Anolis sagrei: one gene and its partners. The protein of the gene in region 4 interacts with the protein of the main gene of each other region in a biochemical or structural test. Links are inferred from orthologs where the notes say so. Each region holds a gene or a part of one and is shown on either strand. Other genes may lie near its edges. The genes, in order: RB1, CDKN1C, CDK6 and CCND1.

Region 1 (7,415 bases), about 120 Mb from region 4:
AAATGTGAATGTTGCAATTGGCCACTTTGATTAGCACTGAATGGCTTTGCAGCTTCAAAGCCTGGCTGCTTCCTGCCTGGGGGGAATCCTTTGTTGAATGGTGTCAACTGGCTTTTTATTTTTATTTACTGTCCTCACTCAGCAACACTCAGAAAACAGGAATTCGAGGCATGAAACAATCCAGGCCAGCTAGCATCTCCCAACAAAGGAGTCCCCCAGGTAGGAAGGAGCCAGGCTTTGAAGCTGCAATGCCATTCAATGCTAATCAAGGTGGCCAATTGCAACATTCACACTTGCCTCAAACAGACAATGGTTCTTTCTCCCACCCTGGGCATTCCACAGATATATAAACCTTACTTGCCTAGTTTCTAACAGATCTCACAACCTCTGAGGATGCCTGTCCTACATGTGGGGAAAACATCAGGAGAGAATGCTTCTGGAACATGGGCATACAGCCCGGAAAACTCACAGAAATTCCAGGCATGAAAGTGCTGGACAGCGCAATACAGCTTTGTTGCAGCAGGACTAGCAATAACAAAATCTTAGAAGGGATAAAAAGAGTTCACTGTTAAAGATTGGAGAGAGAAAGTACTAGAGTATGTCCAAATGGCCAAGTGAACTAGTAGTAATAAAGGAGAGGAAATAGGAAGAATCTATATAAATAAAAATGTAATGTTTGTTGGTGGGATTAACATAACTCAAAAACCACTGGACGAATTGCCGCCAATTTGGACACAAGACACCTACTAACCCATGGAGTGATCATCACTAAAAAAATGATTTGCCATTGGTGAGTTGTAGTTGCCAAGATTTATAGTTCAACTACAATCAAAGAGCATTCTGAACCCCACCAACGATGGAATTGAAGCAAACGTGGCACACAGAACTCCCATGACCAACAGAAAACACTAGAAGAGTTTGGTGGGCATTGACCTTGAGTTTGGGAGTTGTAGTTCACCTACATCCAGAGAGCACTGTGGACTCAAACAATGATGGATCTGGACCAAACTTGGCACAAATATTCCATATGCCCAAATATGAACACAGATGGAGTTTGGGGGAAACAGACCTTGACATTTGGGAGTTGTAGTTACTGGGATTTATAGTTCACCTACAATCACAGAGCATTCTGAACCACACAAACGACAGAATTGGGCCAAACTTCCCACACAGAACTCCCATGACCAACAGAAAATACTTAAAGCCATCCAGTCCAACTCCCTTCACTAGAGCAAGAAAACGTAATCAAAGCCCTCCTGACAAAGAGCCATCCAGCCCTAGATATAGCTAGATATATATGATTCACACAGAGAGAGATATAGTATCATAGAGTTGAAAAGGATCCCTAAAAAATGACATGTTGCATGTTCCAGAGTAAGCAAACCAGACAATCTTTACATCAACACTGACAAAGAAACTGCAATAAATACTGTTTACCCACAAACATAAAGGAATTACATATATTAGAATCCAACACTTTCTCATTACTTTATTTTCCAGATCAACTGACTGGGCCACAGCAACACGTGGCAGGGGACAGCTAGTCTATATAAATAAAAATGTAATGTTCGTTTGTGGGATTAACAGAACTCAAAAACCACTGGACGAATTGACACCAAATTTGGACACGAGACACCTAACAACTCAATGTATGTCCTTCACTCGAAAAAAATGATTTTGTCATTTGGGAGTTGTAGTTGCTGGAATTTATAGTTCACCTACAATCAAAGAGCATTCTGAACCCCACCAACAATGGAATTGAACCAAACTTGACACACAGTTCTCCCATGACCAACAGAAAATACTGGAAGGGTTTGGTGGGCAGTGTCCTTTGGTTTTGGAGTTGTAGTTCACCTACATCCAGAGATTGCTGTGGACTTAAACAATGATGGATATGGTTCAAACTCTACACGAATACTCAATATGCCCAAATATGAACACTGGTGGAGTTTGGAGAAAATAGAATCTTGACATTTGGGAGTTGTAATTGCTGGGATTGATAGTTCACCTACAATCACAGAGCATTCAGAACCGCACCAACGACAGAATTGGGACAAACTTCCCACACAGAACCCCCATATTATTAAGGCCATCCAGTCCAACTCCCTTCACCAGGGCAAGAAAACGTAATCAAACGTAATCATGACAAAGAGCCATCCAGCCTTAGATATAGATAGATATATATGATTCACACAGAGTATCACACATATAGTATCATAGAGTTGAAGAGGACCCCTAAAGAAGGACAATTTGCATGTTGCACGTTCCAGACAATCTCCACATCAACATTGACAAAGAAACACTGTTTACTCACAAGCATAAAAATTACATATATTAGAATCCAACACTTTCTCATTACTTTGTTTTCCAGATCACCAGACTGGGCCACAGCAACGCCTGGCAGGGGACGGCTAGTTTGTAAATAAACGGAGGCTGGCATTTGGAAAGGAAGACAAAGTTGATTTGAAAGTAGCCACAAAGGGAACTTCTTAAGACAAGATGGCAATGGCAGCGACTGTCAAAAGGGGAACTTCAGATCTGGATCTTTTCCAACAACAGCAGCAGCAGAGCAACAACTTTTGAAACTTTTCCTGTCATTGTAACACAGGCATGGTCCAACTCCGGCCCTCCTGGTGTTTTGGACTTCAACTCCCACAATTCCTAACAGCCGCTAGCGGCTGTTAGGAATTGTGGGAGTTGAAGTCCAAAACACCAGGAGGGCCAGAGTTGGCCCATGCCTGTTGTAAGGTCTTTGAGGAGAAGACCCCTTCCCCTCCTACTTGGGCTTCCCTTGGGATGAACAAAAGCCCAGTGGGGTGGCAGCCGCTCTCCTTCTATGGGGGAAAAGGCCAAAAGAGAGGGGGACGGAGGGCACTGACCTGGCTGTGGCCGCGGGCTCCGGCTCCGCCTTCCTCGGGGGCCTCGTGGGCGCCATCTTGGGCGCCTCCAAGCCCCTCAGCGGCGGCGCCCCCTCCCTCTCCTGCGCGCGACAGCCAGCAGCCAACCGGCAGCAGGCCTCGCGAACCGCGGGAAAGGGCCTCGCGCCCGCCGCAGACGTCACTTCCTGCTCTGGAGGGCGCGCGGAGCTTCCCTTCACTGGTGGCCAAGAGAGGAGAGAAGCAGGTGCTGAAGGCGGGCTTGGTTTGGACTCTTCATAGTTCCCCCTTCCACCTGGACAGAAGTGTCAAGCTGCATATCCTATCACTATAAGCAAACCTTGTTTTGTTTTTGTTTTTTGCCCTCCCATTTTCTCACGGTGTTCCCAATGGCAAGGGTATTGTCCAATTCCATTACGTTTTCAAGGGCAGCCCCATGTAGAGCGCATTACAGTAGTCCAATCTGGAGGTGACTAAGGCATGGACCACCCTGGCCAGATCCGCCTTCCCGAGGTACGGTCACAGTTGGCGCACAAGTCTTAATTGTGCAAAGGCCCAGTGTATCTATCCGAACGGATCTCCCTCTACGTCCCACCCCAGAGTCTAAGATCTTCTGGGGAGGCCCTGCTCTCGACCCCGCCTCTATCACAAGTGAGATTGGCAGGGACGAGGAGCAGGGCCTTCTCGGTGGTGGCCCCCCACCTTTGGAATTCACTCCCCAGGGAAATTAGATCTGCAACACCGCTCCTTTACTTTAGGAAAAAACTGAAAACATGGATTTGGGACCAGGCATTCGGATAATCGGGCAGATAAAAGGACTTGACAATGATTAGGAAATGATTAATGGAATAGAATTATGGAACTCTGAAAGACGAAGCGCTGAGCATGAGAATAGTTTTTTTTATAGTTTTTATATATGACATGTTATGTACTGATTGTTTTTATTGTTTTTAACTGCAATAATTGTTTTAGCCATGGTTTTGTATATTATGTGTAATTTGTATAGGCATCACATTGTGCCTTCTTTGTAACCCTGAGTCCCTCCTTGGGGGTTGAGAAGGGCGGGGTAAAAGTAACCTAAATAAATAAATAATAAATAAAGGCCCTCCCGGCCACCGCCGACGCCTGAGCTTCAAGCATAAGTGATGAGTCCAGGAGGACACCCAAACTGTGGACCTGTGACTTCAGGGGGAGTGTAACCCCGTCCAGCACAGGTTGCCACCCTATACCCCAATCTGGTTTACAATCTACCAGGAGGACCTCTGTCTTGTCGGGATTAATCTTCAGCTTGTTCTTCCTCATCCTGGATTCACAGCTGACAATGGAAGCTCAGGTCGCTGCTGCCAGCAAACAGGCCTTTTTCCATCTACGACAAGCGAGGCAACTGGCACCCTACCTATCTGACGAGGCACTGGCAACTGTCATCCATGCCACGGTAACGTCTAGGCTGGACTATTGCAACGCCCTGTATGTGGGCCTTCTGATGTCTACGACCCGAAAGCTTCGTATTGTTCAGAATGCGGCAGCCAGGTTACTCACAAGAACGCCCATGAAATGCCATATAACACCAGTGCTGCAACATTTACATTGGCTTCCAACTGAGTACCGTGGCCTGTATAAGATGTTAGTTCTGACCTTTAAAATTCTTTACGGCCAGGGTCCATCGTACCTTAGGGACCGCCTCTCCTCCCATCATCGGAGATCGCAACAACCAGCCCAACGTGACTTACTCCATATACTGGGTCCTAGAGAAGTGCACTTGGAAAGGATCAGATGCAGGGCTTTTTCTATTTCTGCCCCTGCCTTGTGGAATTCCTTGTTGCCCTACATGAGAGCCATGCGTGACTTAGGGCCTTTTACTCTCACACTTAAGACCTGACTTTTTACTAGAGCATTCGATGAGACTGCTGTCAGTTGGGCAACGAAACAAGACGGGAAACTTGGTGGTTCCCATCCCACCTGTTTTTCAGTTGTAAACTTGTTTGTAAAGTGTAATAAGAGGTGGGAACTCTGAACATGATTGAAGGCCCGTGTTCAGAGTTCCCTCCTTTCAAGACACTTGTACCTCTTTTCAACCACTGAGGACTATGCATGCCAGACTGCTGCAAAATTTATTCTTGAGACTAGTAACGTTTAAGTATGTTTTCCTTTTTATCTGTGACTTTTTGTTGTATGGGCCTGTGTTGTGATTTTGTTGTTGTATGCCAATAAAGGCTGTATGTGTGATTTTGCCATTGTATATCCTGATTTTGTTATCCAGTGGGGTCCTGGAACCAAATCCCAGTGGATACCGAGGGCCCGCTGTACTCCGTCTCACTGCTTCTTAAACTGGGTCCTGGCCTCAAATGGGATCCCACTAAAGACACAGGTTCACAGCTTGGGAGTGATCCTGAACTCGTCGCCGAGCCTGATTAGTTCTCAATACATGTTCAATTTTTATACCTATTTCATATACCCTACATACCTAGGGTCATGTCAAGCATTGTTGAAAAGGTTTAAGAAGCCCTGTACTGTCCTGTTTAGATGTCCCCTCCCATCTGCCAAAGGAAGAACATTCCCTATTATCCAGAGAAATATCTTTCTCATCTTGGTATCTAACAAACCTGCCAGATACTTTGGAAATTACAATCACGGAGGAATGAAAGAAGCATAAAAAGTAGTAGATTCATAAATCTGAATGGTGGAAATCCCATTGCTATCTCCTTGAGCTTCTGTAGTCGGATTAGTTTAGCTCTATCATATCTTAGACCCATAGAATCGTAAGAGTTGGAAGAGACTGCAAGGGCCATCTCGTCCAACCTCATTCTGCCATGCAGGAACACACAAAGCAGTCTCAGCAGATGGGCTTTCTTTCAGCCTCTATTTAGAATTATAGTATCATAGAGTTGGAAGAGACTGCATGGGCCATCTAGTCAAACTCTGTGCCATGCAGGAAAAGCACAATCAAATCAGCCCAGACATATGTACCCATTGCTCTGGCCCGGCCCAGTTTTATTGTTTCCGGGTGCACTGTTTATTGCTTGTTGTTTAATATTGCTTCAACTGTTTTTAATTTGCTTTAGGTTGTGTATTGTTATGTTGTGTTTGAGGCCTTGACCTTTGTAAGCCGCATCGATGCTAGCGGGGTACAAATAAAGATAATAATAATAATAATAATAATAATATGGCCTCCACAGAAGGATTCCCCCAGGCAGGAAGCAGCCAGGCTATGAAGCTGCAAGGCTATTTGGTGCTAATTAAGGTGACCAATTGCAACATTCACACTTGCCTCCAAAAGACAAGATTCATACTCGTAAATAATAGAGCTGGAAGAGACCTCATGGGCCATCCAGTCCAACCCTCTGCCAAGAAGCAGGAAAATTGCATTCAAAGCACCCCCGACAGACGGCCATCCAGCTTCTGTTACAAAACTTCCAAAGGAGCCCCCACCAGACTCCGAGGCGGAGAGTTCTACTGCTGAACAGCTCTTACAGTCAGGAAGTTCTTCCTAATGTTCAGGTGGAATCTCCTTTCCTGCAATTTGAGCCCATTCCTCCATTGAGTCCTAGTTTCCAGGGCAGCAGAAAACAAGCCTGCTCCCTCTTATGACATTCTTTCACATCTTTATACATGGCTACTAACTGCCCCCTGCCACACGTTGCTGTGGCCCAGTTTCTGTATATGTGCTTTGTGTGTATATAAGTGTGTTTGCATGTATGTGTGTGGTTTGCGCATGCGCTGTAGCATCTTTTTGGCTTTTTTAGTCCTTTCCGCTGTGTTTCACAGTGTTTTTATGAGTGATGGTCACTCGCTGGCCTGATAGGTATATTGTGTCCAAATTTGATGTCAATTCGTCCAGTGGTTTTTCAATTATATTAATCCCACAAACGAACATTACATTTTTATTTATATAGATTGTGTCTATTCTCAACCTTTACTTCGGCAGGCTAAACATCCCTGGCTCTTTAAGTCACTCTCATAGGGATTCATGGTTTCCAGACCTTTGATCCTTTCAGTCGCCCTCCTCTGAACACCTTCTAGCTTGTCAATATCCCTTTTGATGGAAACACAAACAATCCCACCAAAGCAGGTAATAGCTCTGTTTTTCATCCATGGACCTGAGCCCAGGTTCTCCAATACAAACAAAATGTATTCTGAAATCTGCTACAAATACTTTTTAAAAATGTATCAGTGGAAGTGGTATCATGGGAATATTCAGTCATGATGGTGAAAGAGATACAGAATCCAACAGGTACATGACCTTATTTTTTATTTAAAATTGTATTATTTGCTTCAACTAATAGCCATATGACATATTTTATAACATCTAATCTCAATTCTAATCTAAAATATTATTAAGGTTAAAATTCAGTAGTCCTATGTTAAGCATCCTAGAGAAATTCGCCATGTAAAAGAAAATGTGAAAAGAAAATGGACAAACTTTTAGACAAACAGGTTTGTAATATTTATTTTCCATTGCACATACATAGCTTATATACATCTCAATAACACAAAGTTACTGCTCAATTTTGTTACAGCAGACACCTATATTAGAACAGC
Region 2 (7,404 bases), about 21 Mb from region 4:
CAGCGTTAGGAAGGTGGTGGAGAAAAAGCAACAGAAAGCTCAGAATTACATAGAAGCATCACAAGGCACTGCCTCGCTTTTCCTAAAGTGCATCTACGCCAGTCATGGGAAAACTTTGGCCCTGCAGGTGTTTTGGACTCCAACTCCCACCATTCCTAACAGCCTCAGGCCCATTCCTTTTTCCCCCTCAGCCGCTTAAGTGGGCCTGAGGCTGTAAGGAATTGTGGGAGTTGAAGTCCAAAACACCTGGAGGGCCAACTTTGCCCATGCCCTGCTTTAACTGTCATGACTCAAAGATATGGAATCATGGGAGTTGTAATTTGGTAAAGTGCTAACATTCTTTGGCAGGGAAGGCTTTTCAAAAGATTCCATAGCATCAAGTTAAATGGTGGCAAATGGCATTAATTCCACAATACTGAGGCATCCCTGGATAAGTCAAAGAATGCATCTGTATTGTAGAATTAATGCAGAAGGCACAATGGATAAGTCAACTGCAGCTAGGGCATCATCAGAGCAGGATGGGTCTTTTATCCACATGACAGGGACCTCAGGCTAGTTCTACACTGCCAAATAATGCCATGTGAACTGCATTGTATGGCACGTGTAGAACCAAATACACCTCAAACTACATTGTATATATACACATTGCCCTATACTGAAGTTCAAACTGGATTATTTGGCAGTATGGAACCAGTCCATGGTTGGTTTATTTACTTTATTGTGATGTTATTTTGTTGTATATATTTTATGCTGCCGTAATGTATCGCTGGCCTTGTCCTCATGTAAGCTGTTCTCGAGTCCCCTTTGGGGAGATGGTGGTGGAGTAAAAATAAAGTTTATTATTGTTGTTGTTGTTGTTGTTATTTAGGTCCAAGGTGGGCAGGAGGTTGAAGATTGGGCAAAAAGTATATGTGAGTTTCTGTTTGGCAACTCCTAACCAGTGCCTTAAGGGCAAAGGCTCCAAGGACCTCATCACACTAGAAAATGAATCCACTTTAAATCCAGTTTCTGCCTCTTGCAGATTTCTGAGATTTGCAGTTCAAGGCTCCTCCCTAAACTACAAACCCCAGAATTCTGCAAGAGGCAGCAACCGGATTTAAAGTGGATTCATTCTCCAGTGTGAAGAAGTAGCCAAGCAGCCCTGCCCCACCCTCTCCGGGCATCCTTTAAATCTTCCAGAAAGCCACAAATACCCTAAAAGTCTTCGATTTGGCAGAAACACATGCCCGAAACTCTCTGCCTGGCATTAATGCACACCTCTGAAGCTCTTATGGCCTTGTAGGCACAAACACGTCTTTCCCCATCCAAACACAATGAAGACCCTCCCCTCAGCCTTTATTCCTACTCCAAGGGGTCTTCGTGTTGTCGAAGGCTTTCATGCCCGGAATCACTGGCTTGCTGTGAGTTTTCCGGGCTGTATAACTCTGGGACATGGCCATACAGTCCGGAAAACTCACAGCAACTCAAAGGGGCCTTCCTTTTGAGCTGGCAATGGGATTAAATCAAGCCCTTCCTCACCTCGCTCATCGGAGCCTTTTCCGGGGCGTCTGCTCCAAGGCCAACGCGCTGCTGGCGTCTGCGGCCACTCTTTTCCGCTTGGCGAAGAAATCTAAGAGAGAGAGAGAGAGAGAGAGAGAAGGACCAATGAGTGCGGGGCGTCTCCTCCCTCTTCCGACACCCCCCGGGGAAAAAACAGGCCCCCTCCCGAAAGGGACCCGCCCCGGGCGCCCCCGAGCTCCGCGGCAGACAAACACTCCCCGCGCCTCCGCCCCGCGACGCCTGCCCTCGCCTGCCCCTGGCGGTTCGAAAGGGAACTGCAACGGGACGGGTTTGTTTACGTCGCAGCAGCAAGAAAAAGGAAGGGAAGAAAAAAAAAGAAAGAAAGGCGTTGGGCGGCCGAGCGCGAAGTGCTGCGTAAGCGTTCCTTCCTTGCCCTGCAAGCCATCGACGACGGAGCAAGGAAAAGAAAACATAGTAGAAGGAGAGAGAAGGGGAAAGGGGGAAGAGACGCCTTCCTTCCCACTAAAAAGACCCTAAAGGCAGCAGCAGGAGGAGGATTGTTTTGTGTGCCCCCCCCCCCGCAGGACAAGTGCAGGCGCCCTTCCCTTCCTTTCTCCCGTCTCTCTTTCTCTCTCGCAATCCCTCCCTTCTTTCCCTTCCTTTCTCCGTCTCTCTCCTGCTTCCTCCTCTCCGCAGCGCTTTCGTACCGGTGATGTGGGCGACCCTCGTCCTCTTGGCCACCCCCGGGAGGGGCTTAAGGGGGATCCCTGAGTAGCAGCCGCTCTCCTGCTTCTCGGCGGCGGCGGCAGCGTCGTCGTCCGCTCCTTCGTGGCTCCGCGCGGCGAGCGGGGAAGGCGGCGGCTCGGTGCCTCCGTGGCTCTCGGGCTCCTCCTGCTCCTCCTGGGGCGCCTTGCCCTTGTGGCAGCGAAGGCGGCGGCGAAGGGAGCCCGCTCCGGGCAGCAGGGTCTCCCGGTAGAAGGCGGGCAGGGCGGCGGCGTCCACCTCCTCCCACTGGAAGCGCGCCTGGTCCCGCTGCCCAGCCGCGAGGGGCGCTCCGGCGTGGAAGTCGAACTCCCACCGGCGCTGGCTCTCCTGCCGGATCTGGCGCAGCTGGTCCCGGAGCTCGCGGTGGAGCTGCTCGTGGTCCACGGGACCGAAAAGGCTCCGGCACGCGCCCGTCCGCGCCTCCGAAGGGAAAGCGCGCCGCGCCGCCAGCCGCTCCAGGGCCCAGGCGCTAGCGGACAGGTCCACGCTCGACATCGCCGCCGCCGCCGAAGGGAACGAGGCGAAGCAGGAGGAGGAAGAGGCGCCGCGAATGCCTGGCCTGGCTCCCGAGCCCGAACGGATCGTCCACCCCGCTGCCTCTCTCGGGCCCTCCCGACTTCGCTCCGGGGCTGCTGCGCTTTTTAAAGCTCTACGCGGAGTGGCGCCCGAGCAAAACATCGATTAGCATAATACTATGGCTCGGCAATAACACGGCTGCCATTGGACGAGGCGGCGATCGACACGGGGCGACGTCCCGCCCTCGCGCGCGCGCCTCATTGGAAGGCACCTTCAGTGTGGCAGGGCGCCAAACGCGCCTCCCGCTTTCCCATTGGCCGGGGCTGCTTTCCGTCAAGGGACGCGCGAGGGGCGGAGGCGTGAGCGAGGGGAACTTGGGCATTTAAAGGGAGCGGGAGGGGGGGGAGTAACCTGACACCGCGCCCACGTCGCCCGCTCGGCTCCTTTGTTTGCAGGCGGCGGAGGGGGCTGCGCCTTGCCCCTCCCCTCCTTCTCCCCCCCCTCCTTTTATTAAAAAAAAGTGCCTGATGAGCCCTGCATTTCAATATTTGTCCCCTTTCTTACGCGCCGGGCGGGGAGGGGTTCTGTGTTTCGGGGGCTCGGGTCCTGCAACCTGAAACCCGGGCCCGGCCCCTCCCCGCCTCCAAAGTACAACCGCGAAAGAAGGGCTTTGTGAGCAAAACAAAGCTTGTTGTTGACGAGGGCGCTTCCAACCCGGGAGAGAGGGAACGGCGCGCGGGAAGGATTGATCCGAATTAGGTCCCCCTAGCTAGCAAGACAAAGGAGCCCTTGAGGATTGGGGTCGGGTTTGGGAACGGGGAAGAAATCCAGAAGAAGTCCGTCTCCTCCCCTGAAAAAGCAAGGCGATTTGGGCACCGCTTTCCCTGCCGTGCGCGGCTCAGTGCTATGCGACTCCCGGGAGTTGTAGCTTCACAAGGACTTGAGCCTTCTCGGCCAGACTGTGCTGGGGCCTCAACATACTATAACTTCACACGATTCCATAGCATTGAGCCGGGGCAGTGGAAGGAAGAAGCAAGCTCCCGCTGTGGCTGTGATTCTCCCATTTCCTTGGAATCAAATACTGGCCACATGACCTTGGAGATGAGCACCAACCCCCAAAGTCGGACAAGACTAGACTTAATGTCAAGGGGAAACCTTTACTTTACCCCAATCCCAGTTCAAGTTCAAGGACCCCCTGACATCTATCCACAAACCCACAAGTTTACCTTTTTTGGAAGTGTGAGTAGATCAATAGGTACCACTTCAACGGGAAGGTAATGGCACTCCATGCATTCATGCTGACCACATGACCTTGGAGGCTTCTACGAACAACAATGCCAGCTCTTCGGCTTAGCAATGGAGATCACCACCATCCCCCAGGGAGCCCCCAGTAGCACAGCGGGTTAAACTGCTAAGCTCTGAACTTGCTGACCGAAAGGCTGGCGGTTCTAATCTGGGCAACAGAGTGAACTCCAGCTTCTGCCAACCTAGCAGTTCAAAAACATGCAAATGTGAATAGGTACCACTCTGGCAGGAAGGTAACAGCGCTCCATTGCAGTCATGACCTTGTAGGTGTCTACGGACAGTGCCGGCTCTGGTAGACACAACTAGACTTAATGTCAAGGGGAAAACTTTTACCTTTACCTACTACCCTCCAGAGTTGGGCATGACTAGACTTAATGTTAAAGGGAAGCCTTTCCCTTTTTTACAAGTACTTCTGACCACTCTTTCTTTTTGCACATTTTGCACACAGTGTTTGTCAACTTGTCTTTTCTGCTCAAAAGCCTTGGGACCTGACAGGCGTGCATCTATTCAGTGGTGACTCCATAGCTCTCTTGTGCCTCATGCTCCTTTTTCTCAGTCCATGCCAGAACTTGGAAAAGTTCTTCCAGATGACAGGTCCCAGCATCTCAACAAGGATGGTCGATGGCACATAGAGGAACGGTCATTTGAAGAGTAACTTTCCCAAGGTCTTGAGTTCCATTCACCAGAAATCTCTCTAGTAGGGAAGGTTTTGAGCAGAGTTGTCTAGGCCAGCAGTTGCTAAACCTTTTCTGTTGTGGAACACTTCAGAAGACTTTTTCTCTCCACAGAACCTAACCCTATCTATCCCTAAGCACTGCGAACCCACAAAGTTCTTCCTTTTTTATCTACTCCTATTGTCTGGGTATTGTGTATAATGTAGTACACGCCTGGGCAAACTTTGACCAGGTATTTTGGACTTGAACTCTCACAATTCCTAACAGCTTCAGGCCCTTTCCTTTTAACCCTCAGCCACTTAAGCTGCTGAACTTGCTAACCGACTTAAGTAGCTGGGGGGGGGGGGGGAGGAAGGTGGCTGAGGCTGTTAGGAATTGTGGGAGTTCAAGTCCAAAATACCTGGAGGGTTAAAGTTTGCCCAGACCTGATGTAGGTTTGGAAATAAAGCGAAACATTTTAAATGTGACCACAAACCAACCCCAAAATCAGTGGCACAGATTCACATTTCATTTTTAAAGCCGAGGTACATTGCATTTCAATAAGATCTTCATACTCTTGCATGACTTTTGGAAAAGTTTGTTTTTTTAAGATTTGAAACATTTTTCACGGACTTCCCCTGAAGCTTTTTGTGGAGCCACAGTTTGGGAACCAGTGGATCTAGGCCTCTGTTACCATTCATAAACTCCATTACAGAAGCAATGCATAGTTGTGATGCCTACACCAGAAGGCACTTTTGATCCCCCAGGTCAGTGGTTGTCAACCCAGATATTTTGACCTCCAACTCCCAGAAATCCTAACAGCTGGTAAACTGGCTGAGATTTCTGGGAGTTGTAGGCCAAAACACCTCGGGACCCACAGGTTGACAACCACTGCTGCAGGTGCTTTGGACTAAGGTGAAGGTAAAGGTTTGCCCTTGACATTAAGTCAAGTCGTGTCTGACTCTAGGGAGTGGTGCTCATCTCCATTTCTAAGCCAAAGAGCCAGCATTGTGGCTGGCATGGCTGCATGGAGCACCTTTACATTCCCGCAGACGCGGTACCTATTGATCTACTCATATTTGCATGTTTTCGAACAGCTAGGTTGGCAGAAGCTGGGGCTAACAGCAGGTGCTCACCCTGCTCCCTGGATTCAAACCACCAATCTTTCGGTCAGCAAGTTCAGCAGCTCAGTGGTTTAACCTGCTGCACCATCAGGGGCTTTGGACAATAGCTCCCATAATCCTTGATCTTTGGCCATGCTTTCTGGGATTTATGGCAGTCGACATCCAAAGGTACCTGGAGACCAAAGCTTCCTCAGCCCAGATAGATGCTATTGTTTTGCCTTGTGTTTATTGCAGGAGAGTCTCTCTTATCAGATGCATCCAACAAAGCAGGTGTTTACCTCAGAGAGTTCACGCCACAATACATGTTTGTTAGTGTTTCAAACATCAGAGGACTTGGCTTAAATATCCTGTTTTTGAGAATGTGGTATAACTTTGTTTCTCCACTCGTACAACAGGAAAAGAACGAGAGCATGGTCTGTTCATGATAAACGTAGCCTGTCGGCAGTAAAAAAATAATAATAATCTCCACAAAAGAAGTAGGATTCACTTGGGGCAAGGAAAGGTAAGTGACTTGAGATGACCAACGATGATACAGTCCATCTGAATTATCCAGACTCTTAAATCAGCTGGAATTCAAGTAGTGTTTAGGGCGAATGTCATGACAGCATTGGCTCGTACTTTTTCCCTTCACTGAAATTCAACTTCCGTGAAGACCATATGGCTATTTGCAAGGTGGCCTGCAGGCCAGAAAGATGCTGTTCAGTGAACAGTTCATAAAAAGGCTATCATGGTTCATTGGCCCTGACAATGCACCTCATTAGGCAAGATGTAAACCTCTGTTGGAAGAGTTTGTGATGGGGCAGCAGAGAGGAGGAAGGTCAGTCATGCAGCCAGACCTTCAAGTGAAAACAGGTGATGAAATATTAATTCCCTTGATTTAACACCCTATCAGGTCTCGTCAGCAAAGGAGAGGACCAAAGCCAATCCAGTTCCAGAAAGTAAATGACCATGGAGCACCGTTATCCAATTGGACCTCTGCCAAAATACTGTAAAACTTCATTTCTTTGCAAGGTTTGTAATGATTAACCAATAAAATATGAGTCCCATAAACTAATCTTTGTTCCATTCATGGTTTACTTAGGCAATCTTTCCTATCCTCTAGATATGCTTCTTTGTATCCGGGAGCAGATAATACACTGCCCAAAGCAAGTGTGGCAGTTAAATAAACTATACTATTCATCAGTTATAGTCCACGTGAAACAACTTAATCGTACATTTCTATATAAAGGTTTGTACTGACATAGTAGGTACCAAAAATTGCATAAATGGAAGGCACAAGGGAAACAAAACTATTTCTGATATTGCTCCCATCAAATTGAATTATGTTTTTGGCCTGTTCTGTGCTGTATAGAAACTTTGCCTGATAGTGCTAATCTTAAAGAATTCACAAATGTTATGAAGGTAATGCAGTTTCCTTTCTCTTTTGGGCCACATCTATACAACTTAGGTTGGTATACAGGTGGCCAAAACATAGGGCTATTTCAGGGTAATGTGGGACAAGGCCACATTAATGCAGCCTTGTTTCACATTACCCAAAGTTG
Region 3 (7,243 bases), on a different chromosome or scaffold from region 4:
GTCTTAAATGGCGAGGGTCAAATTTGGGGGGCTTTAATACCCACTTTTGCATCCAACCACCCCTCCTCTATTTAGTCAATCATCCCAAGGCTCAGAGGAAGATCTGGAAGATAGGCAGTGGGGTGTTGGATGTAAAAGGGGGTAATAAAGCCTCCCAAACTCAACCCTAATCATTTGAGACCCCCTTTTGTCCATGAGAAGAAGGCTAGTGGGGTGGGAGGGTATAAAGGCAAATAATAGAGCCCCCCCAAAAGCCAACCTGCACTATTTAAAACCCTCCTCTATTTAGTCAATGATCCTGAGGCTCAGAGGAAGGTCTGAAAGGTGAGCAATGGGGTGTTTGGATGTAAAAGGGGGTAATAAAGCTCCCCAAACTCAACCCTCACCATTTAAGACCCCTTTTGATCATGAGAAGAATGTTAGTGGGGTGGTGGATCCAAAGGGGGATAATAAAGCACTTTGAAAGCCAACCTGCACTATTTAAGACGCTCCTCTATTTAGTCAATGATCCTGAGTCTCAGAGGAAGATCTCGGAGGTGGGCAATGGGTACTTGGATGTAAAGGGGGGGGGGTGATAAAGCCCCCTTCCAGACCTTCCTCTGAGCATCAGGGCTATTGACTAAATAGAGGAGGGTTGGTTGGATGTAAAAGGGGGCGATAAAGCCATTTAAGACCTCCTTTTGATCATGAGAAGGCTAGTGGGGTCAGTGGTTGTAAAGACCTCCTTAAGACCCCCTTTTGATCATGAGAGGAAGGCTCGTGGGGTGGGTGGGTGTACAGGGGGATAACAGAGCCCCCCAAAAGCCAACCCACACTATTTCAGACCCTCCTCTATTGAGTCAATGATCCTGAGGTTCAGAGGAAGGTCTGGAAGGTGGTCAATGAGGTGGTTGGATGTAAAAGGCGGTAATCAAGCCCCCCAAGCTCAACCTTCGCCATTTAAGCCCCCCTTTTGATAATGAGAGGAGTGTTCATGATAATAGAGCTCCCCAAAAGCCTCCCCCCTATTAAAAACCCTCCTCTATTTAGTCAATGATCCTGAAACTTTGAGGAAGGTCTGAAAGGTAGGCAATGGGGTGGTTGGATGCAAAGGGGGGGGGGGGGGTAATATAGCTTCCCAAACTCAACCCTTGCCATTTAAGACCCCCCCCCCCTTTGATCTGGAGAGGAATGTTAGCAGGATGAGTGGGTGTAAGGGGGGAGGAATGTTAGTGGGGTGGGTGGGTGTACAGAGCCCCCCAAAAGCCAACCCACACTATTTCAGACTCTCCTCTATTTAGTCAATGATCCTGAGGCTCAGAAGGAGGTCTGGAAGGTGGGCAATGGGGTGGTTGGGTGCAAAAGGCAGTAATAAAGCCCTCCAAGCTCAACCCTCACCATTTAAGACCCCCTTTTGGTAATGAGAAGACTGTTAAGAGATAATAGAGCCCCCCCCCCAAAAGCCAACCCCCACTATTAAAAACCCTCCTCTCTTTAGTCAATGATCCTGAGACTTTGAGGAAGGTCTGAAAGGTGGGCAAAGGGGTGGTTGGATGCAAAGGGGGGTAATAACCCCCCCCCCCAATCCAACCCTCACCATTTAAAACCCCTCTTCGATCATGAGAGGAAGCTAGTGGAATGGGTGGGTGTACAGGGGGATAATAAAGCCCCTCCAAAAGTCTGCCTGCACTATTTAAAACCCTCCTTAGATCCTGAGGTTCAGAGAAAGGTCTGAAAGGTGGGCAATGGGGTGGTTGGGTGCAAAGGGGGGGGGATAAAGCTCCCCAAACTCAACCCTCGCCGTTTAAGACCCCCTTTTCATCATGCGAGGAATGTTAGTGGGGTGGGTGGGTGTACAGGGAGAAAATAGAGCCCCCCAAAAGCCAACCCGCACTATTTAAGACCCTCTATTTAGTCAATGATCCTGGGGCTCAGAGGGAGGTCTGGAAGGTGGGCAATGGGGTGGTTGGGCGCAAAAGGGAGTAATAAAACCCCTCAAACTCAACCTTCGCCATTGAAGACCCCCTTTTGATCATGAGAGGAATGTTAGTGGGAGGGTGGGTGTAAAGGGGGATCATAGAGCCCTCCCGGAGCCAAGCCCGGCCACTCACTAGCCCTCCTCCCCATTGAAACCAAAGAGTCTATCAATCTGGATGAGCACATGGCACTTCAGGGCCGAGGAAGTACCTGGCGTGCGCTTCTGCTGGTGTTGGTGCGGGAGCTCCTCTCGGAGGGGTGCCTCGGTCTTCAGAGCCAAACGGGGGTCTTTGGAGAGAGCAATAAAAGGGACCCCCCCTCCTATACAATTAAAAGAGGAATAAGCAGGGGGTGGGAGGAAGGAAGGAAGGATGGATGGAAGGAAGGAAAGGACAGCTTGCTTCCTCTCTCTCTCTCTCTCTCTCTGGGAAGTCCTAAGATCTGGCTGCCCATCCAACGCAGATGGGTCAAGGGGAGGAGGAGGAGGAGGAGGAGGAGGAAGAGGAGGAGGAGGGAGGTTCACATGGTGCTGCTCCGGTTTGGGGCTCCCCGCAGACCCGGCCTGGGCCACACAGGTAGCCGCCAGCACCGGAGCGCCTCCTCCTCCTCAACCCGCATCTTCCTGGCAAACTCGGGAAGAGCAAAACGGCACCTTCTCCTTCTTCCTCCTTCTCCTTCTCTTCTTCATGCAAGGAGAGGATCTCGCAAACCTCCCTCCTCCTCCTCTTCCTCCTCCCTTAGAGAAAAAAAAAAGGGGGGGGGGGTTGTAATAACTCTGATCAAAGCCTTCACAAACTCTACCCACGGACACTCTTCCTGCCTGTGAAAAAAGTTCCCGTTCCTCTCTCTCTCTCTCTCTTTCTGTGGCTCAGTCTGGGAGCAGAAGAGTTTTCTTTTCTTTTTCTCTCCCCCCTCTCCAAACTCGCCTCCACTCACTCTCCCTCTCTCTCTCTCTTTTCCTCTCTCTCTTCCCTTTCTCCCCTTCTCCCCCTCGGTTTCCCACGCTGGCTGAATGTGACTTGACCCCGTTTCAAAAAAGTTTGACATAGTGCTTCAACATTTCCGCATTCCTCCCCGACTACAAAGGCAGCGGCCGCCTCCTTCTGCTTTCTGTCTCTGCTCTCTGTCTTCGCACTCAATGAAATCCTTCATGGGCCAAAAAAAAAGGCAAGGGGGGGGGGGCAGACCACCCCTCCCCTCTCCCCAAATACCGCCGGCAAGGAGGCAGGAGAGAGAGAGGGGGGCGATAGGGGGGGTGATTATGGGGGAGGGAGAGGGGAGACCCCAAGCTGGGAGGAGGAAGAGGAAGGAGGAGAGCACAGCTTCTGAAACTGCTGCTGCTGCCTCGTGGGCTTGTTTCCCAGGGTGTGCAAAAGTCCACATTTGTTACACAAGAGCAGGCCCGGGCCAACTTGGGCCCTCCAGGTGTTTGGGACTCCAACTCCCACCATTCAGACTGTGAGGAATGGTGGGAGTTGGAGCCCCAAACACCTGGAGGGTCCAAGTTGGCCCATGGCTGGTGTAGATGCACCCTACGCAATGCAACCCTGGGAGCTGCAGTTTGGTGAGGCGCCAACACTCTTTGGCACAGAAAGCTGAAGCCCTTGTAAAACTACAAGGCTGAGGGGGAAAAGGAAGGGGCCTGAGGCTGTGGGGAATGGTGGGAGTTGGAGTCCAAAACACCTGGAGGGCCCAAGTTGGCCCATGCCTGCTGTAGATGCACTCTCTGCAATGCAACCCTGGCTGCTGCAGTTTGTTGGGGAACTAATACGCTTTGGCACAGAAGGCTGAAGACCTTGTGAAACTACAAGGCTGAGGGGGAAAGGAAGGGGCCTGAGGCTGTGAGGAATGGTGGGAGTTGGAGTCCAAAACACCTGGAGAGCCCATTGGCCCCGGCCTTTTCCAGAGGGACTCTTCTTGTTATTATTATTCTTTTTTGGATGTTTGGACATACAGTATATATAAAGAACAAAAGTAATTTAAAGTAGGTAAAAGCTAAAAGTTTTCCCCTGACATTAAGTCCAATCGTGTTCAACTCTGGGGGTTGGTGCTTAACTCCATTTCTAAGCCAAAGAGCCAGCATTGTCCATAGACACTTCCAAGGTCATGTGGCTGGCATGACTGCATGGAGTACTGTTATCTTCCTGCCGGAGCGGTAACTATTTATCTACTCACATTTGCATGTTTTTGAACTTCTAGGTTGGCAGAGACTAGAGCTAGCAACAGGAGAATTGGCTGACTGCAAGGACATTGCCCAGGGGACACCCTGGATGTTTGGATGTTTTACCAGGTGATAGATGAATCTCATCCGCACTCTTCCCAGATTCAAACCTCCAACCTGTAGGTCTTAAGTCCTGCTGGCACAGGAGTTTAACCCACTGTGCCACCGGACCAAGGAGCAGTAATTTATAATATAAACAGGACCAAGGAGCCACAGTGGAACAGTGGGTTAAACCACTGAGCTGTTCAACTTGCAGGTCGCAGGATTGAATCCGGGGAGTGGCGTGAGCTCCAGCTGTTAGCCTCAACTTCTGCCAACCTAGCAGTTTGAAAACATGCACATGTAGGTAGATCAATAGGTACTACTCCGGTGGAAAGTTAACAATGCTCCATGCAGTCATGCTGGTCACATGACCTTGGAGGTGCTTACGGACAACGCCAGCTCTTCAGCTCAGAGATGGAAATGAGCACCAACCCCCAGAGTCAGATATGACAGGCCTTAGTGTCAGGGGAAAACCTTTACCTTACCTAAACAGGGACCAATGCAAGATACTCCACCAATTCGGCAGAAAAAAAGGCAAAGATACAGAATGGGGGACATCTGGCTCAACAGCAGTAGGTGTGAAAAATATCTTAGAGTCCTCCTGGACAACAAGTTAAACATGAGGCAACAAAGTCATGGGGCAGCTTAAAAATCCAATGGGATTTTGGCCTGCATCAATAGGAGCATTGTGTCTAGATAAGTGGTTCTCAACCTTCCTAATGCTGCGACCCCTTAATACAGTTCCTCATGTTCAGGTGACCACCAACCATAAAATTATTTTCATTGCTACTTCATAATTGTAATTTTGCTACTCTTGTAAATCGTCATGTAAATATCAGATATGCAGGATGTATTTTCATTCACTGGACCAAATTGGACACCAATACCCGATAAGCTCAAATTTGAATACTGGTGGGGGTGGGCGGGGGCATTGATTTTGTCATTTGGGAGTTGTAGTTGCTGGGATTTACAGTTCACCTACAATCAAAGAGCATTCTGAAGTCCAGCAATGATGGAATTGAACCAAACTTGACACACAGAACTCCAATGACCAACAGAAAGGGGTTTGGTGGGCATTGACCTTGAGTTCTGGAATGAGAGAGCGGAATATAAATAAAGTGTTGTTGTTGTTGTTGCTCTCCTCACATATTTTCTATTCCTACCTCACCCAGGGTTTTATCATTTTATCTCGTCCATTTGGCCTGCCCATCCTGTTTGATTTTATATTGTGTTAATTTGCTTTATTTGTTTTATTTTGCTACTTAACTATTTTTTGATGTAACTTTTTGTTCTCTGCATTCTGTGTTTTATTGTGGACTCAAACAATGATGGATCTGGACCAAACTTGGCATGAAGACTCGATGTGCCGAAATGTGAACATTGGTGGAGTTTGGGTTAAATAGACCTTGATATTTGGGAGTTGTCGTTACTGGGATTTATAGTTCACCTACAATCAAAGAGCATTCTGAACCCCACTTGACCCTCAGGTTGAGAAATGCTGCCTTAAGGCCAGCCAATCCAACACCCTTCACTAGGGCAAGAAAACGTAACCAAAGCTCTCCTGACAAAGAGCCATCCAGCCATAGATATAGATAGATATATATGATTCACACACACACACATATGTATATGACAGATATAGTATCATAGATTTGAAAGGGACCCCTAAAGAAGGACAATTATATTTTGCATGTTCCAAAGTAGGCAAATCAGACTATCTCTACATCAACACTGACAAAGAAACGACAAGAAATACTGTTTACACACAAGCATAAAGAAATTATATATATTAGAAACCAATACTTTCTCATTACTTTATTTTCCAGATCACCAGACTGGGCCACAGCAACGCCTGGTAGGGGACGGCTAGTAAATAATCATAAATGTAAACATGTACAGTGACCCCACTGTAAACTGTTCTACTAATGTACTTGTAAGTGAAATCAGAATGCAAAGGGCAGGCAGCAGTGCTCTCGGAAGTCCCCATGACTTAAATCCTGTTTAATAATAGCAGTTAAGAATCTTTTGGCCAACCTGCCAAACAAAAAGAGGTTCATTGTGAGCACAGGAAGGTGTGTTTTCCACATGTAAACCATTCCATCTGCATTCCTGTGACTATAGCTTCATCTTTCATCTCTGTGGCAATATACCTCTAACTCCATTAACGTCAGTCAACCTTCCCTTGGATGAAGATAACATATGCCTTGAGGATTTAGTATATATTAACCCATCCTATTTTTTTAAAAGTAAATGTTATTTATATTCAAAAAGGAATTTCACTTACATACAATAATGTTCCAATGTAACAAAAGCAGGAAAATAAAAACAGATAAGGAGGAAAATTAGCCGCATTAGCCACAAGTTTCTTTAAAACTGATCAAATGTCCATACATAAGTTATATTGTAATTTTTGTCTGTACAACATTATTTCAAATTTTGCAAGTGTTTTTAGAGCTGCTATCTATCAAATCACATTGGAAAAGGAAAAAACCTTCCAGTAGCAACATATTCATTTTTTAGCAGTCAAAGGGACACACAATACCTATTTCCACAGGCTATTTGTTATTTTCAAAGGAATAGGTAAATTATAAAAAAGAGTATAAAAGCAATGAATATCAAAAAACTTTTCAAAACTAAATGTACTTTAATGATCACGTTCTCCCAAAATGTAGCAACTATTGGCCAACTTCAAAACATATGCATTAAGGAAGCATTATTACAATTAAAATAGTTTTCTGATTTTTGAAAAGAGATTCTAACTGCACAAAAGACCAATTTTGCTGTATAAAACATTATTGGAGGTCTATAGCCATACTAGTTATAGATGCTAAAATTGATGGCCATTGATTAGTCAAAACAGAATATTTTTATTCTCTATTCCATCTTTGCTATAAATTTACATGTCAATTTATTTATTGATTGATAAGATATCCCCTCTGGGCAGCTAAACCAGGAAATCCCAAATGGATGACCCCCCCCCCCCCATGAGGGTATTTGGGCAAACCAAGAATGGGGTACTTGGAA
Region 4 (7,189 bases):
TGAAATGTCAGGAGAGAATGCTTCTGGAATGTGGCCATACAGCCTGGAAAACTCACAGCAACCCAATAACAATAATAAATATCCTATTGAAGGGATTAGGAATTGCTTCTGAAAAATGTGTATATGGGACTGCCTCCCAACTTGGAATTGGTGAGCTTTAAGACTCTTGTACTCAACCTCTGATCATATAGGTTGTTTCTGAGTTTTCCGGGCTGTATAGCCATATTACAGAAGCATTCAGAAGCAAACACGGCCATACAGCCCAGAAAACTCACAGCAACCCAGTGATTCCGACCATGAAAGCCTTCAAAAACTCACTCTCTCTCTCTCTCTCTCTCTATATATATATATTCATTCAATTATATGCTTCCCATATATGCCCATTTGCACACGCTGGAGTAAAGTTTGTAAAGGTAATGGTGGAAAGAATTCAAAGTGAGCAAACCGCATGAAGTTTTCAGTCCTAAACATTAGAGGAAGGGAATCTGTCTAGGAGATCTGAAATTGAAGAATTGATCAGCCTGGTTTCTTTATCAGTGTGGCTTGAGGGTTTTTAGTTTTCTGAAGAGACAAAAGTACGAAATTACCAGTAATTCGCTGGGTCTAATGGAGTTATCAGTGTAAATACACAGTTTTTCTGCAGTGAGAGGAATGGTTTCCTTCATTTTGGAGGCAACGAACATACAGGTAGCTCCCAGCAGTTGCAAGTGGCTTTTCTTAAGGGGTTCGAAAGAGAGATATCGGTCCAAATAATTCATAGCTAAGGGGAATACTTCTTCTTCGCACTTCTGCTCCTCACAAACCTGAAGGGAAAATAGGGGAAAAAAACAAAACAAAAAAACGGGGAAGGGAAAAACAAGAAACAAATCCTTACTTTTTTGAACCAACTTTTTCTTCCACACAAGAATGGTGAAGAAAATCCAATGAAATGAATTTCCCACTTTTATAAAAACCAAATGAACCAAGTCAATAAATGTGTTGAGAGTGTAAGGAGAGAAAAGAACTGAAAGAGAAAGTCGCAAGGGAAGTTGGAAAAACGTGGTCGGGGACTGAGGAGGCGAAATAAAAAGGCGAACAGGCTTTTGAAAAGCCCGAAATTAAGAAGCGACCCCCCAAAGTAGTTAGAAGTAGGTCTGCTTGGAGATATTTTTTGGGGGGTGTATAGCTGAGGTGCCCCCTATTGGCTCCCATTGGCTTGGGTGCTGCCTCCCCCCCTCCTCGCTCGAGACACAAAGGTGGCGTCGAAGAGGCAGCTGCACGCTTTTTCCCCAGACGTCATCTTTTCAAAAAATATTTAAAAATGTTTAAAAAATCACCAGCGCTTCCAAAAGTAGCTGAAAACAAACCCCGGGCGATTCTTTACCGATCCCTCATGAGAAGAATCACGGGGGATCCTCTGGTGGGACACCCCGAAGTCAAACTCCAGCACCCCCCATTCCTCTCCAAGCTCTCTCTTCTTGAGAAGCAACGTGCGACATTTGCCACCCGGGGGGCTTTCAAAAATTAATTAAAAATACTTCCCGGGCGCGGATTTTTTCGGGAAAGGGCTGAAAATGTAGCCCAAAGCCGGCTGCTTCTGATGGGACCCCTTTGAAGCGCCTCCTCCAAAGGGGGACCCCGATTTGCACTTGTTTTTGTACTGGGCGACCTTGCCGACAAGTCTCTGCAGGAGAAAGCAAGCACGTCTTCCGGGCGGGGGTGGGGAGGGGGGGAGGAGAGGAAGACCAGGGGTTTTCTCTCTCTCTGTGCGAACAAAGAAAAGTTTCTCCCCAAAGTTTGCAAGCCCAAAGCCCAGGGACCCCCCCCCCCCACCCTCAAGGGAAGTTTCTCGCCTCCTAATGATTAATAAACCCTTGCAATAAAAGAACAAAGATGGCGCAGAATACTGGCACGGGGAGCACTTGCATACGTGTCCATGGATATTAAATCTAAAATCAAAATCCCCCCCTGGGAGGCCCGGGGAGGCTCGAGGGAAAGGCCAGAAGGGAAGGCAGGAGCCGGGGCGCCTGGGCGAGGAAGCAGCCCACGCTTCGCTCCCAGGACCCTGCCTTTCGGGCTCATTCAAAAGTTCGCCTCCAAAGGTGACAGCGAGAGAAAGGAGGCCTGGCTTCGGGTGCAGGAAACGCCGGGGAAAGAGAGGAAAGGGAGGCAGGGAGAAAGCAGCCCAGGAGGAAAGGCTATCTTCGGGTGGAGGAAATGCCGGAGAGAGGAAAGAGAGGCAGGCAGAGGAAGCCCAGGCTTGCAATCCCCTTTCTCTCTCTCTCTTTCCAAGCAGAGGTTCTGCAGGGCTGGTCTGACTATTACTAAGTTAGTCTTGCAATCCCCTTTCTCTCTCTCTCTCTCTCCAAGCAAGGGTGGTTTGACTATTGCCAAGGAAGCCCAAGCTTGCCATTCCTTTCCTCCTTCTCTCTCGCTCTCTCTCTCGGAATGGTTACCAACCTCCAGCATCCAAGTGGCCACGATTTTCCTCATATATGGTAAGATCTCCTTCTGGACGCACTTGAAGTAGGAGACGGAGGGCGAGCAGGTCTCCTCGGCCTTGAGCATGGCCTGCAGGACCCGGTCGTTGAGGAGGTTGGCATCTTGGTAGGCTCTCCGGATGGTCTCCACTTCGCAGCAGAGCAGCTGGTGATCCATGCCGACGCCTCGCCTCTCTCTCTTTCTCTCTCTCTCCCCGCGTGCTTCCTCTCTTCCTTATGCTGTTCTTGCGAGGCTTTGTTTCTTTTCTCTCCGGAGGGAGTCTTGTTTCCAGGCTGCTCTTCTTCTCCTTCTTCTCCTTCCCTGGTTGCTCGGATGCTGCTGGCTGGGCTGACTCTCCTGCAGCAGCAGCAGCAGCAACGACTCCTCCTGCTTCGCTTCGCTGGTGCTACCGCTTGCTGCTGCTCCAGCCCTCTGGAGGCTGCGGGGAAACTTTCCAAACTTCCACCCTGCCGCCTGAGCCCCCTCTTGTGACGTGACTGTTGTTAAGCGGAGATCAAAGAATGCGAAGGAAGGAGAGAGCGAGCGAGGAAGGAGGGAGGGAGGGAGAGAGGGAGGGAGGGAGAGGAGCCAAAAGCAAGGGGCAGAGCCCTAAAGCCATCCCATCGCCTCCAAGGCCTTCCCCTTCGCCGCAGTTCAAGCAGGAGGAGGAGGAGAAGCAGCAGCAGCAGCAGCAAGGCGCTTACCCCCCCCTTCTCTCTCTCTCTCTTTTGCATACCCATGCAAATGAGCACTAAAGATCCCCCCCTCTCTTTTTTTTCCCGGGGAGGGGGAAAAAGAAGCAAATTGTCTTTCCAGTGCATTAGGCAGGATATGTTTAATAATAATGATGGTGATGATGGTGATAATAATGCGGGCTTTATGCAGCTGGTGCAGAATACAATGGGGGAAGTAGGCCACGGCCACACACAGGCAAACTTGAGGCCTGGGCAAACTTGGGCCCTCCCAAGTGTTTGGGGGTGCAACTCCTACCCTTCTTCACAGCTTCAGGCCCCTTCCTCTCCCCCCCCCCCACTTCATCCAGTTTAAGCTGTATAGCCATGTTCCAAAAGCATAGAAACATCACTTACTTGTGACTTCATCACATTGAAAAAAAATCCCCCTTAAATCCGGTTTGTGCCTCCTGCTTTGGAGTGCAACTCCCACCATTCCTCACAGCCTCAGGCCCGGAGACCTGGACCAACTTGGAGTACAACTCTCACCATTCCTCACAGCTTTACCCCCCCCCCCCCCCAATCATCCAGCTTAAACTGTAAAGCCATATTCCAAAAGCATAGAAACCTCACTTATGACTTCATCACACTAGAGAAAAAATCCACTTTAAATCCGGTTTGTACCTCCTGTTTTGGAGTGCAACTCCCACCATTCCGCACAGCCTCATGCCCCTTCCTCCCCACACAAGTCAGCTTAAGCTATATGGCCATGTTCCAAAAGCATAGAAACCTCACTTATGACCTCATCACATTACAGAAAAAAATCCACTTTAAATCCAGTTTCTGCCTCCTGCAGAATTCTCCTTGTAGTTTAGTGACACTGTTAAAGGCTCCTTCCTAAACTACAAACCCCAGAATTCTGCAGGAAGCAGAAACCGGATTTAATGTGGATTCTTTCTCTAGTGTGATGAGTCCCTTTGCTGTTGTAGGTTTTTTGGGCTGTATGTTCTAGAAGCATTCTCTCCTGACATTTTGCCTGCATCTATGGCAGGCAGCCTCAGAGGTTGTGAGGTATACCTGCCATAGAAGCAGGCGAAATGTCAGGAGAGAATGCTTCTAGAACATGGCGGTACAGCCTGAAAAACCTACAGCAACCCAGTGATTCTGGCCATGAAAGGCTTCGACAATACATTCTCCTGTTTAAGTTTCCAACACACCTCTCAACCTCTGAGGATGCCTGCCATAGATGCAGGCGAAACGTCAGGAGGGAATGCTTCTGGAAAATGAGTGATACAGCCCGGAAAACACAGCAACCCAGTGATTGGCTCAAACTTTTCCCATAGGATATAGAGGTCCCTTCAAAGATTGGGGTTGAAATCTGGACACTTTGGGGGGGGGGGGGTCCAGCTGCCAGTTTTGGACCTACCACGTGGCTGCAGAATGCCAGCCAGATCTTTGGGATCAGGGGGGTTGATTTCCCCCCTTTCCATCTAAAAACACACTTGGAAACCAGGTTTACTTCTTCCAAGATGGGGAACAAAGGCAGCATTGAGAGAGAGGGAGCAGAGCTGGAAGTTGCAGCGTCTCTTTAAAGCAGGCCTGGGCCAACTTGGGCCCTCCAGGTGTTTTGGAGTGCAACTCCCACCATTCCCAGAGCCTCAGGCCCCTTCCTTTTCCCCCTCAGCTTAGAAGGAGAAACGTGGTGGGGCTTCAACGCCACGTGGTAGGTCCAAAACTGGCAGCTGGAGCCCCCAAAATGTAGATTTCAGCCCCAAATCTTTGAATGGGCCCCTACATCATATGGGGAAAGGATCAGCCATTCATTTCCGCAGGGCGACCTGTTTGTTGGAGTTGAATCTCTGGCAGGAATTAAAGGCGCAGAGAGGGATTAAAGAAAGTTGAGTTGTTGTGAGTTTTCCGGGCTGCATGACCACGTTCCAGAAGCATTCTCTCCTGGCGTTTCGCCTGCATCTGTGATGCAGGCGAAACGCCAGGAGAGAATGCTTCTGGAACATGGCCATGCAGCCCGGAAAACTCACAGCAACCCAGTGTTTCCGGCCTTGAAAGCCGACAATACATTAAGGAAAGTTGCATTCTACTTCAAGGAGTCCCGCAATGGGTCTCGGAAGGGGCAGGGCGGCCTTCCTTTGTGCCTTGACTTCAGGAGACACATTCCCCAAGCCGCGTGGCTCAAGGGAAGGAAGTCAATGGGGGCGAGAGAGGTGGAACTCGGAAGTCTGCCCCGTCCGGCTTCCGGGGATCTTCTCTTTCCCCCGGTTGGTGGGTCTGGCCCGTTTCACCCACAAGCCCGGGCTTCCTGGGCGACTGGCTCCCTCGCGCTGCCTTGCCTCCAGGGAGGGCGCCTTCCTTGGGCTGGAGCCGAGCCTCGCTCGAGGCAACTCCCCGCAAATTCCAGGCACGCCTTGGGATGCAAACTTCCCAGGATGATACGTGTTGTCCAAGGCTTTCCTGGCCGGAATCGCTGGGCTTGCTGTGCGATTTCCGGGGTGTCTGGCTATGTTTCAGAATCATTCTCTCCTGACGTTTCGCCCACATCTATGGCAGGCATCCTCAGAGGTTGTGAGGTCTGTTGGAAACTAGGCAAGTGGGGTTTATATATCTGCGGAATGTCCAGGGTGGGAGAAAAAACTCTTGTCTGCTCGAGGCAACTATGAATGTTGCAATTGACCACCTTAATTGGCATTAAATGGCCTTGCAGCTTCAAAGCCCGGCTGCTTCCTGAATGGGGAAGCCTTTTTTGGGAGAAGTTAGCCAGTCTTTGAAGCTGCAAAGCCATTCAATGCTAATCAAGTGAGGTTTATATATGTGGGAGAAAGAACTCTTGTCTGCTTGAGGCAAGTGTGAATGCTGTAGTTGGCCACCTTGATTAGCATCAAATGGCCTTGCAGCTTCGAAGCCCGGCTGCCTCCTGCCTGGGGAAGCCTTTGTTGGGAGGAGTTAGCCAGTCTTCGAAGCTTCAATGCTAATCAAGTGAGGCTAATATCTTTGAAAGGTCCAGGGTGGGAGAAAGAACTCCTGTCTGCTGGAGGCAAGTGTGAATATTGATTAGCATTGAATGGCCTTGCAGCTTCAAAGCCTGTCTGACACCTCCCAACAAAGGATTGCCCCAGACAGGAAGCAGCCAGGCTTTGATCCTGCAAGGGTATTCAATGCTAATCAAGGTGGCTAACTGCAACATTCACACTTGTCTCAAGCAGACAAGAGTTCTTTTTTCCACCCTGGACCTTCCAGGTATATAAACCTCACTTGATTCGCGCTGAATGGCCTTGCAGCTTCAAAGCCTGGCTGCTTCCTGCCTGCGGGGAACCTTTGTTGGGAGGGGTTAACCAGTCTTTGAAGTTGCGAGGCCATTCAATGCTAATCAAGGTGGCCAACTGCAGCATTCACACTTGCCTCAAGCAGACAAGAGTTCTTTCTTCCACCGTGGACGTTCCAGATATCTAAACCTCACTTGATTAGCATTGAATGGCCTTGCAGCTTCAAAGACTGGCTAACCCCTCCCAGCATTCCACGGATAGATTAACCCCCAATTGATTGCCCATTTTCCTAGTTTCCAACAGACCTCCCAACTTCAGGGGATGCCTGCCATAGAGGTGGGCGAAACGTCAGGAGAGAATGCTTCTGGAAAGCATCGCCCGAAAAGGCACAGCAATGCAATTCAAGGACCTGGTTTTGGCATAAGAATCACCCGGACTTCCCCAATTTGGGGGTTCTTCTATTCTGATCCCGGGGGAGGATTGTGCCCATGCCTCTCCTCTCGCTTGCCCTGGCGCTCCTGCAATGGGGATGTCTTAATTGGGGGCTCTTTTGGGGGGGGGGGAATATAAAGCTCGCTCAATGGGCAGCTCCTCCCTCCCCCCTCTCCTTGCTCCCAAACAATATTTGCTTTGTCGGAGTGGGTTCCCCCTTTGCGAGGGAAGGGAAGAGAAGGGGACGCCAGGAGGAGGAGGAGGAGGCAAGGGAGAGCAGGGTGGTTTCTCCATTCATAAAAACCCGCGCCGGTGTGTGGCAGCAGCCCTTGATTTATGAGGCGGCGG

What was found.
Region 1: of the proteins of CCND1 (region 4) and RB1, one has a biochemical effect on the other in vitro, tested with the Homo sapiens proteins (15 studies listed by BioGRID, with this or other methods). The link is inferred for Anolis sagrei from reciprocal best matches to the Homo sapiens genes CCND1 and RB1.
Region 2: the proteins of CCND1 (region 4) and CDKN1C form a complex in vitro, tested with the Homo sapiens proteins (2 studies listed by BioGRID). The link is inferred for Anolis sagrei from reciprocal best matches to the Homo sapiens genes CCND1 and CDKN1C.
Region 3: the proteins of CCND1 (region 4) and CDK6 form a complex in vitro, tested with the Homo sapiens proteins (3 studies listed by BioGRID and IntAct, with this or other methods). The link is inferred for Anolis sagrei from reciprocal best matches to the Homo sapiens genes CCND1 and CDK6.

What each region holds. Positions count from the first base shown.
Region 1 is NC_090021.1:150,193,753-150,201,167, reverse strand, and holds the start of RB1 (retinoblastoma-associated protein), read right to left. Parts: upstream 3,022-7,415; 5' UTR 2,936-3,021; coding exon 2,880-2,935; intron 1-2,879. UniProt on the Homo sapiens protein: Tumor suppressor that is a key regulator of the G1/S transition of the cell cycle. The hypophosphorylated form binds transcription regulators of the E2F family, preventing transcription of E2F-responsive genes.
Region 2 is NC_090021.1:246,025,238-246,032,641, forward strand, and holds the start of CDKN1C (cyclin-dependent kinase inhibitor 1C), read right to left. Parts: upstream 3,015-7,404; 5' UTR 2,944-3,014; coding exon 2,208-2,943; intron 1,610-2,207; coding exon 1,524-1,609; 3' UTR 1,519-1,523; intron 1-1,518. UniProt on the Homo sapiens protein: Potent tight-binding inhibitor of several G1 cyclin/CDK complexes (cyclin E-CDK2, cyclin D2-CDK4, and cyclin A-CDK2) and, to lesser extent, of the mitotic cyclin B-CDC2. Negative regulator of cell proliferation.
Region 3 is NC_090026.1:102,371,144-102,378,386, reverse strand, and holds the start of CDK6 (cyclin-dependent kinase 6), read right to left. Parts: upstream 3,005-7,243; 5' UTR 2,167-3,004; intron 1-2,166. UniProt on the Homo sapiens protein: Serine/threonine-protein kinase involved in the control of the cell cycle and differentiation; promotes G1/S transition. Phosphorylates pRB/RB1 and NPM1.
Region 4 is NC_090021.1:266,611,651-266,618,839, reverse strand, and holds the start of CCND1 (G1/S-specific cyclin-D1), read right to left. Parts: upstream 3,017-7,189; 5' UTR 2,638-3,016; coding exon 2,440-2,637; intron 804-2,439; coding exon 588-803; intron 1-587. UniProt on the Homo sapiens protein: Regulatory component of the cyclin D1-CDK4 (DC) complex that phosphorylates and inhibits members of the retinoblastoma (RB) protein family including RB1 and regulates the cell-cycle during G(1)/S transition.